Linked DNA regions of Caenorhabditis elegans. The protein of the gene in region 2 interacts with the protein of the main gene of each other region in a pairwise test. Each region holds a gene or a part of one and is shown on either strand. Other genes may lie near its edges.

Region 1 (3,670 bases), on a different chromosome or scaffold from region 2:
AGTAATCCAGATTGTATCGTGGAAGTTGGTAAGTTGGCAATTTGACTTGAATTTATTTGAATTTATTTCTTTTCAGATGAAGAATCTCAAGATATTCCAAAAGTAACAGAAGAGCCAAAACAGGAACCGCCTAGAAAACGGGTCAATATTTCCAATAAGCGAGGTAAAATTAATTTACTTTTGATTACATTTCAAGTGATATTTCCAATTTCAGAGAGTGTGATTTCAATGGGAAGATCAAGATCATTCAATCACTTTGGAGAACATTCTGATTATCACGATTATTATGATTTTGATAAGCAATAGTTCACATTTTGATATTTTTAAAAAGCTATACTTCTTCATAACTTTGGCACAAGTGCTTTCTTGGATTTTTGATTCTGTAAATAACTATGTACAAATACAAAAAAAAAATTTTTTTAATTTTTTGTCATTTACAGTGTTTCTTTCTTTTAAACATTTAGCCCTGTATGCAAAACAAACAAAAAATATTGAATGAAGAATAGTTTATTTTCTTTAAATGAGAAAAATTTAACGGCGAGTTCCGTCCTCGAAGAAGACTCCTCCGTCGATGGCGCAGTACTTTGGACAGATTCCCTTCTCTCCGGCACCTCCGGCAGTTCCAGCTTGTCCTGGGGCTCCTGGGTTTCCGTCGGCTCCTGGGGCTCCTGGGTTTCCATTTGGTCCCTTTGGTCCTGGGGCTCCTGGTTGTCCATCGTGTCCTGGCTGTCCTGGGGCTCCTGGTTGTCCTTGTGGTCCGGCTGGTCCAGCTGGTCCTGGTGCTCCTGGGGTGATTGGCTCGGATGGAGCATCTTGTCCTGGCTGTCCTGGGGCTCCTGGGGCTCCTGGGTTTCCGTTTGGTCCAGATGGTCCCTTGTTTCCTGGGGCTCCTGGCTGTCCGTCTTGTCCTGGGGCTCCTGGGTTTCCGTTGGCTCCGGCATCTCCGGCTGGTCCAGCTGGTCCTGGGGCTCCAGCTGGTCCGGCTGGGCATGGCTTGCATGGTGGTGGGGTGATTGGCTCACATGGCTGCTGTGGTGGGCGTCCTGGGTTTCCTGGAAGTCCTGGTGCTCCTGGCTTTCCTGGGCGTCCTGGTTTTCCTGGGGTTCCGGCTGGTCCAGCGGCTCCTGGAAGGCAGCAAGCATCACATCCTCCAGCAGAGGCGGCTCCTCCGGTGACTCCAGCATCATATCCAGCTTGACGGGCGGTACGGTTTCCAGATGGGATGGATTTCAATTGGTTGACCTCGGACCAGATATCCTTGGCGGATCCCTTGCAGAAGTTGATCTCTGAGTGCATGGTTCTCTTCACATGGTGGACATAGTTGTACACCATTGGAAGGGTGACGCATACCTGAAAATAAAGAGTTACTTTAATTGTTTCCTATGTTTTAAAATTATAGTTTTTTTAAGTGATGACTTACCGAAATAACGGCGACGACGGAGAAAGCAACGGCCGAGTAGGCAACGAAGCGGTAGGCTTTAATACGCTGTTCGAGATCCATTTTGGAAACTGAATAATTCATTGTCAATGTTTCTTTTATAGTTGCCTCAAAATCAGACTCCACCCACAAAAGATACCTAGCCTTGGCAACACAAAAAGAGAAAAACTTGATCGGTAGGCACGCACGTATGCATCTTCTTCCTCCGTCCCTCTCTTTTTTCTTTTGTCTATGACATTGTAATGAACGAATGAAAAGGCTGGTATCGGCTTGAAACAAAAAAGAAGCTTTTGACAACTTTCGGGTGTTACACAATACGTGATCTAATCGGGTGATGTTGAACACCTTAATCGCTTAAATTTGAATCAATTATAGTTTTTGAGAAAGTGAAAGCATTGCGTAACTAGGATATTTTCAATCCAATTAGAACATGGAATTCAAATGACCTAAAATAACAAATTAGGATTAAAGAATACAACCTTGAACAAATGAGGTAAAAACCAGAAATTAGTTTTAAATTTTGGAAAAGGTTTGATTATGTTTATTTGGTTTTGAAGTTTTAGGAATTTTTTGTTAAAGCTCCAGTGGGACAATGTTTGAAATAACTTCTGTGTTGCTAAAATGATCTATTTTTTATTAAAGTGTGAAACAATTTTTGAAATGTTCTCTTCACAGTGAAAAAATAAAAATAATCAGTTTTCATCAATCATTACTGTGGAAAATGTATTTTAACGATTTTTACTTCCGTACATATATTTTCTGAAAACTCAAAATTCCAAAATACGGTGAAAATATGGGAAGCAGGCTAGAGACAAAGTGAACGCCTAAAAAAATACTCGAATACTACGGAAACCAAAAATCTGACAAAAAAAATATGATAACTTTCAAGTCGGCAATGTCTACTGGTTTTATATGATAACAATATACACAAAATACTTTTCCTATCATCTATATTTAACGAATTTGTCAAATTTTATTTTGTATTAGATTTATATAATTTGATTTTTGATGATTTGATAAGAATACTTCAAAGGAACATTATCTTTGAGCAGTTGCATTTTTGTAATGGACCGAAGGGAATCATCCGAGTTCAAGATTATTCTGATAAAATTTTCTGATATTCGAAGTGCGTACATTTTTGAAGTCTTTCACATAGAAAAACAATGCGCCTTGGCACATCTATTTTCTAAAAATTTTCAAAGTTTTTTGCAGATAGAGTATTAAAAATAACTTTTTTTTAGAGGAACCAATTATTTTATTTCAGTGTGCTTCATAATTGCAATATAATCTCTAAACCAAAAATGAAATTACTGCCAAGTATAATTTTCAGATTGCCTCCAAAATATCAAGACCAAACCTCCAAACTACCATTTTTCTGATTTATTTCAAATTTAAAGTTGAATGCTACTTGTTGTTGATAGCAACGGTTTTATCAGAAAAACAGGTGGAAATTCAGATTCTCAGCTGTCCTGACAACGATGCCGAACTTCATTCTTTTTTTTCAACTTCCACTCATGGATGCTGTTTTATTTTTCTTGTAGTACATATGGGTTGAGTAACATTTATTCGACTCTCGCAATTTTGTTCTTACAAATTATTTCAAATTTCAGATTTGTGATGGTAAGAAATTAAAATTTCAAACATGGTTAAAAATAAAATATCGACAACGACAGAGTATTCAACGTATGATTGGGAGAAGATTTGGTTTTCCGATGAGACAATTATTGGAGCCAGGGAGACACTTATTGATTCATTGTATATTGCATTGACTCCAGGTAAAAATGAAACATTTTAGTTTGTAAAACTGGATATTTTAGATTTATTTTAACTTGAAAATTGAGTGCATTGCTTTGTTAATATACATTATGAAAACATTGGTGTGTTTCTGAAAAATTATATCACTGAGCACGGCGTTCCTCAAAACATACTTTTAGAATCTCTGAAAATTTATCTGAAATAAAAAAAGTTTTAGGAGTATTGGAAGCACTTCATAAGGATAATTGGTTAAAATTGGCTTCAGAATTGTTTTGCAAAACCTAGTTTACTATATAGTCACAAAACGAAAAAAAAGTATAATATAATATTCCTGTACAAACAAACGAATAAGAAAATTGTTGGTAGACACCCTGAAAATACTTCAACAGATGTATTTCTTGACTATTATCAATATTATCAATTAAAATGTTCACATTAGACTATCCGCATTCCCGTTCAATTTTTCAATTTTTCCCT
Region 2 (3,759 bases):
AAAGGGAATAGTAAAAAATAGTAAAAGTAAAAAAGGGAATACTAGCTTAAAGAGGAAAACTAAGTTTTTTGGGATTCAATTTCACTTGTTCTAAATGTAGTTTGAAACTCATCAGAAAACAATCACGGAATAAGTTGGCTTGTAGAATCAATTAACGAGACCCGGAAGTCAACTTTTTGTTACCCTTTTTTTGCAAATTTGATGGAAAAAAGTCCCTCCGTTGTCTAATCCTTATCCCCCACTACGAACCAAGACCAATCCGAAAACCAATTGAGTGCCGCACGAAACCAAAATTGGGGTCCTATCGAGAGGACTGCTGACTGAAAGATAAATTATAGTATTCCTGAGTTTTTTTTTCTAGAGTGTGTGTATGTCTAAGTTGGAGTCAAAATAGCTTATGTTGTTTTTCTTTTTATTTTCAAGTTTTAAATTCTCTCTTTAATGCTATATGCTACCCTTCATAAATACGGGGTCATGAATTGAATTTTCCTGGAAAAAAAGAACCAAAATAAAATTAGAACTAGTTCCTTGTTTTAGTTTTTTATTTCACTTAAAGTTTTAATCTAATTGTGTCGTTTCCAGACATATATTTCTGCGATTAATTCTTACTTTCCAGGTTATATTAAAAATAATTTCATTACTTGACATTTTCCAATCATGGCTGTGCCTGATAGAATTAAAATAGAAGAAACTCGGAACGTGCATTTTCATTAGACAAACTTAATCAAGCCGCCGTGGTTGTTTTAGTGAGTCCGTCGACATCATCACACATGTGGATATGTAGAAAAAAGCAAAGGAAAAATGGAAGGGTGCTGCAATTTCAAAAGGGAACCCTTTTTTCTGTTTGTTTTTTGTTCCGATTGCATGTCATTTCTTTAGAGAAAGAACCACTACGGTATCTTGCACTTTTCCGTTTTTTTAGATTGTTGCTGGAGATGAAACATAACATACTGACAATTTTTAAAATTACATTATTAATTACATTAATTACATAATTACATTTTTTGAAATTTGATTTGGTGTCGCTCCTTTTTTAAAGTTAAGTTAACTAAAATTTGTAATAAAATCAAAATTCAGAAACTCGCAAAATGTCAGCCAAGTTTAGAACATTTAATGTTTAATAAATGTTGTCCCGTATGTGGCTATATTTTTTAAAATAATTTATCCGTGGCTACAAACAGAAATTCGCGCTTAACATTGCCTGCGCTTGTTGTCAAAAATTTCAACAGTAGAGATGATTGCTTGCCCAAAATTTATTTTTAATTTTGTTCTGAATTTTTAACCAATCATACTAAATATTTTATGCTTTTTAGCTAAATTTTTAGCTAAATTGACAATTTATCATAATTTCGGATTATTATAATATATAAATTTCTGTGAAGTCCAATATATCACAATTATCTGTAAGTGCAAAAACCAACAAACCCTATTTTCTTCAAATTATTTTGAGTTTTTTTTTAAACTTGTAGGTGGTATATTAACAGCCGAATGCATGCTCCTCAAAACGGATGTAGAAACATCTGCAAAATTTTCCAAAAGTTTTGTACATGATTAAATACATAGTATCAAGAATGTCACACCAAATAAAATGTTCTCGAAATATTCGAAATTTCTAGGTATAACTATTTTCAAATCTCATATTCTTTTCACAATTTTCAGAAAAATTAAAATTTCTGGCCATCGAACTTACTCTAGGCAGTAGCACACCAGAGTAAATAGCATGCGTGAAATTGACCGTAAATCTTCAGAATGCCACTTTCTAATGCCCACTTTTCTCATCTCTTACTCTAACGAAAAGTGCGGTTTTTCGGTATTTTTGGTTTCGTTTTCTAATCCCGGATGTTTCATTTCCTTCCTTAAACTTTGATGAGTTGCTGGACTATACATATTTCAAGAATCACAATACTTTTTGTTTCTATTTCGGAATATCAGTGTTTCATGACGTTTTTGTTCTTCTTATCTAATTCGATTCTTGACTTTTCACTCCAATGGACCGTGATCATTTTTTTGTTTCAGAGCGGAAATGAATCACACTTCTAGTGAAAACTTCACAACGGACACTACAGAAGCATTGCTCAACGATACATAGTAAGTGACTGAATTCTTTTTCAGAAAACTGATATCATTTTCTCGTCGGGCCCATGCTGCTCTAATGAGGCTAGCGTGACAAAATTGAGTGCACATACGATGAGAAAAATGCAAACTAGATAGATTTGAAGTGATGGGTGCAAAAAAGATGCAAAAGTTTATGATGCGTTTGCGTTCTGTTAACAAATGCATGAAGGATGTGGCTTAAGAGTTTAGGGTTCAGAGTTGAAAAAATAAAGTGTTTGGTTTGAAGATTTTATGAATTGTTAGATCGAGAATCGTATTTATTTCATTAAGTTCTTGATATTTTTATGATCTTTCTTTTCACAAATCCAATATTTCTCTCACTTGGAGTTGGAATTAAAAATGAAATATTGATAACTTCATTCTTCCTAAAAATCGAGTACTGCTTCAAGCAAAAAAGGCAAAAATCTTTCTGTTAAATATTCGTGGTTGTGTTGGCCTTTTTGTTACTGCCGAATCCCGGAATGTTTTTAATTTGATGCATCAATAATTTTCCTTAGGCCTAAAACTGCAAAACTTCCAACCAGCATATCTATTGCATAAGTACTGAGCAGAATCAGAATTTTTTTTTGACAAACAGTACGAGTCAGTTTAAAACATGTTTTGATTGTTCTAGAAATATTGGTCACTTCAGAAGCGGTATTTGCAAAACACAACGTTTTTTTTTTGTTATTTGTACTCAGTCTCGGGACCCTTTGGTTGTTGCTCTCTACAGAATAATAAGGAAAACTCGTTATCACGTGATGAACTTTGCTCGGCGGAATAAAGAATCTGAAGGACCCTTCATTGTGTTCTGCATTAAGCTGCACGCCATTTTCAAAAAGAATTTTAGTTTTGGAAATATTGCTATTATTATTATTCCTGTAAATGTATGCTTAGGAATTCCTTTTTCTAGTATTGTAGCATCTAATACAATTTTCATCAAAGACATAAATGTCAATTTCTATCGGCTGTTCTCTCCCTGTGAATAATACGACAATTATATTAAATTAATTTTCATTAGTGAATAAGCGTAAGTAAACTAGAAACAAAAACGTCACTGACCCCAGCTGAGCAGTGGAACAACATTGTTCTTAACTCAGTAAAAAAAAAGAACATTCCTTATTTTAAACCAGGCAAAAAAACAACATGCTCACTGAACGACTATGTAAATGTTCCAATATTCGTTGGAAAAAGTACACATCCCAACGCAATATTGAAAATCTCACGGAGCGACTATTTGTTGAGCGCATAAATCTTACAAATCTCTACTCAAGAGTCAATCGACTTTTTCATTTTCTCACACTTGAGACATCTACACATTCACAATAAAATCGAATTTTCCATTGCTTCTAATTGTTTTTATTTTTAAATTTTTTCCACACCTAGCTTTTGTAAAATGAAAACTTGTGTCGTAGCAAGATTTAATAGAAAAAATGATTTAAGAAGTCCATTGCAAAAGTATTAAATTTTTTATTATAATACCGGATAAGATTCACATAGAAAGTTTAGCCGAGATCAGTCCGACTAGAATTTGATGTGTCAGATTTGATATTTGGATTGCTTTAGAATCACAAAAAGTTCACCAGTATTAGATGCTATATTATTATATTACATGCTTCGAGAAAATCTAAAAAGGGCGTACTTTTCAAAAAGAGAGCATTACTA
Region 3 (3,329 bases), on a different chromosome or scaffold from region 2:
AAGAGCAAGTTAATATGGGCAAGAGTTTCGAAAAAATCAATAAATCGAAAAACAAATCTCGACAAACTACGGTAAGCGTAAAAGTTCACAATGAACACAATGCGCATGAATTGACGCGCATGCCGTTTTTTGAGTTTTTTTTTGGTTTTATTAGAATTTCAGCATTTTTTGCAGAAAATTTTAAAAAAAACTATTATAATATTTGAAAAGAAACATTTCAAGTACTGAATCAAGCAAAACAGGAAAAAAATATTACAAAAAACTGTTTGCGCGTCAATTAACATGCATTGTGCGCAACAGCGTACTTTCTCGTCTACCATAGTTTTGCCGATTTTTTATTAATTTTTTTGTGGTTTTTAACGAAAATTCTTGTGAGTTGAAATGTATTCTATGATAGAGAAATACAGAAATTAACGAAAAACCTGAAAAGCACACTTTCTGAATCACTGAAAAAGATTCTTTACGTTGGAAATTCAGAACACAAAGAAATATACCGGCTGTTTAAAAACCATATTTTTAATTTCAAAAAAATCTAAACTTTTTCAACATTCATCAACAAAAATAAACAGAACAGTAACAAAATAACAAGTAACAAATTAACAATATTCAAATTGAGAACTTCATCCACGAAGTCTGAGAATTAAACGGAGAGTAGCCTCATTATAGATGTTATAGGCAATCAAAGTACGGTCATCCTCGAGCTGCGATCCTTGATAAATAAGACGCTGTTGATCTGGTGGAATACCTTCCTTATCCTGAATCTTGAGCTTCAAGGTCTCAACAGTATCCGTATTCTAGATTGAAATGGTGATTGTCTTTCCGGTATAGGTTTTCACAAAAACGTCAATTTCTTTTTCTATAGAAACTTCCAAACGAAGAGTACTGCCGTTTTCGAAACTGTTGTCAAAAAGAGTGCTATGATCGCTAAACAAATCTAGGTCCCAGTTTTCTGTAAAAATTAAAGAAATTAGACATATCTTTCAATATTTAAAGTACAAACCCAATAATAGTTTTTGCGTATTTGGGAGGATTCTTAGTTTTTCCCAAATTTTAGCCTTGACACTTGCCATGGTATCGGAGGCGGAAGTGTCAAGTGTGCATGTTCTTCCAGCGTTCTCAACGTAAATTCGGATTCCTTCATGATGCAGTTCTTGCTGAGTCTCGGCAACCTTGACATTCAGATTTCCGATGACCTCCGATGATTCGACACTGATGGGATCTTCGGTCACTTCTTCTGATTCACGAAGCGGTGCTTGCTGAGCCTCTTGAATTTTGACATCTTGGACAGTGTCCTCCATTTCAATGATTTGATTTCCGGTACCTTTGTCTGAAAATGATTTTTTTAATGCAAAACCCAGAAAAAAACAATAAATACCGTAAGAGACAGTGAAAACGACTCCCTGTTTGTCGCGAACTTCAGTTTTCACACTTTTCGGCGCTTCCACTGTGATGTTTTTTCCAGTCGACGTTTTGATGGAGAGCAGCATGATTTTAGCTGGAAAAATTTATAAATTAAATATTATTGAGAGTTTTGCAACAGAAAAACGAGGACAACGGTGAAAAAAGAAGCAAACAAGGGAGAAATCTGGTTTTTGGATAATTTCGAAATGATTTTTCTTAAAAATATGAATAGAATGAATTAATAAATATTATTATCAAGATTTTGATGAATTACGGGCAAAAAGCAAGCTATAAAGAAGAATTGCGTTGAAAAAGTCAATAAATCGAAAAACAAATATTGCAAAACTACGGTAAGCAAAAAAAGTTCACAATGCACAAAGAACACTTTAATTGACGCGCAAATTTTATTGAAATTTCATTTATATTAAAAAACTTTTTTCTAAGTTTTCGATGAAAACATTTCGAGTACTGAATCAAGAAAAACGGAAAAGTCAATTATTTAATGTGTATCGTGTGCAACTGCCTACTTCCTCGTCTACCGTAGTTTCGCTGATTTTTTATTAAATTCTTTGTGGTTTTTTAAATAATAGAAATTCTAATTGAAGAAACATGTGCCAACAGAAATTCTAGCGGGTTGAATAATGCTAAATTGAATTAAATTCGAGTATTTCAAAATATCAGCCTGAAGTATCCAAAAACCTGAAAAACCAATTTTCTGAACCATCGAAATAAAATGTTTAAGTCGGAAATTCAGAACACAGAAGAATTTACTGGAAAAAAACCCTCATATATCATAAATATGGTACCTGTAATATTTTGAGACAGTGTTTTTAATTTAAAAATTAAAAAAAAAACCTTCAACATTTATCAACAATAAAAAACAAAAAAGTAACAAAACAACAGATTAAGAGCAATCAAATTGAGAACTTCACAACCGATGTCTGGAGACTAAATGGATAATATCCTCATCACGAATGTTATAGGCGAACAGAGCACGGTCATTCTCGAGCTGTGCCCGACCGAAAATGAGACGCTGCTGATCTGGTGGAACACCGTGTTTATTCTGAACCTTGAACTTCAATGTCTCAACAGTATCCGTATTCTTGATTGAAATAGGAATCGTCTTTCCGAATAAGGTTTTCACAGAAACCGTCAGTTTTTCTTTTACAGGAACTTCCAAACGGAGAGTACTGCCGTTTTTGATGTTGTAGTCAGAAATAGTACGTTGATCCTTGCACAAAACAATGTTGGAAGGTTCTGTAAAAACTAAAGAAATTAGACAAGCTATCAGTTTCAAAGTACTAACCCAAATATAGTTTCTGCAGATTTGATGGAAAACCTCGTTTTTCCTAGATTTTAGCCTTAACACTTGCAATGGTATCGGAGGCAGCAGTGTCAAGAGTGATCGTTTTTTCACAAGTTTTAACGTAAATTCGCATTCCTTCACGATGCGGTTTTCGCTGAGCCTCGGCAACCTTGAAATTAAGATCCTTGATGGCGTCCGATGCTTCAACAGTGATTGGATCTCCGGTTACTTCTCCTGAAAAAATAAACATATATTGAAATAAAAACCAAAAAAAAAATCGATAAATACCGTAAGAGACTGTGAAAACGACTCCCTGTTTGTCGCGAACTTCAGTTTTCACATTTTTCGGCGCCTCCACTGTGATGGTTTTTCCAGTCGACGTTTTGACGGAGAGCAGCATGGTTTTAGCTGGAAAAGTTGAATTTATTGAGAGTATTGCAACAAAAAACAGTGAAAAAAGAGTAACAATCCACAGAAATTTGATCTTCGGGAAGTTTTGAACTTATTCTGTTGAATAAAAAAAATATAGCACTTAAACTAATTTGTTTCATTTAAATTTCGATAAAAAATGAGAAAAAACAAGTAAATATGGGCAAGAGTTTCGAAAAAATCAATAAATCGA

The links.
Region 1: the proteins of npr-10 (region 2) and col-125 interact in a two-hybrid assay, tested with the Caenorhabditis elegans proteins (one large-scale study listed by BioGRID).
Region 3: the proteins of npr-10 (region 2) and F52C6.3 interact in a two-hybrid assay, tested with the Caenorhabditis elegans proteins (one large-scale study listed by BioGRID).

What each region holds. Positions count from the first base shown.
Region 1 is NC_003282.8:11,223,347-11,227,016, reverse strand, and holds col-125 (Nematode cuticle collagen N-terminal domain-containing protein), read right to left. Parts: upstream 1,512-3,670; 5' UTR 1,502-1,511; coding exon 1,421-1,501; intron 1,351-1,420; coding exon 532-1,350; 3' UTR 501-531; downstream 1-500. Other genes in the region: best-7 (Bestrophin homolog), read left to right, coding at 1-28, 77-163, 215-306; C29F4.3 (G_PROTEIN_RECEP_F1_2 domain-containing protein), read left to right, coding at 3,081-3,213.
Region 2 is NC_003284.9:13,030,961-13,034,719, reverse strand, and holds the start of npr-10 (G-protein coupled receptors family 1 profile domain-containing protein), read left to right. Parts: upstream 1-2,015; 5' UTR 2,016-2,088; intron 2,089-3,759.
Region 3 is NC_003280.10:1,922,925-1,926,253, reverse strand, and holds F52C6.3 (Ubiquitin-like domain-containing protein), read right to left. Parts: upstream 1,496-3,329; 5' UTR 1,488-1,495; coding exon 1,376-1,487; intron 1,328-1,375; coding exon 1,001-1,327; intron 950-1,000; coding exon 795-949; 3' UTR 534-794; downstream 1-533. Other genes in the region: F52C6.4 (Ubiquitin-like domain-containing protein), read right to left, coding at 2,751-2,941, 2,996-3,107.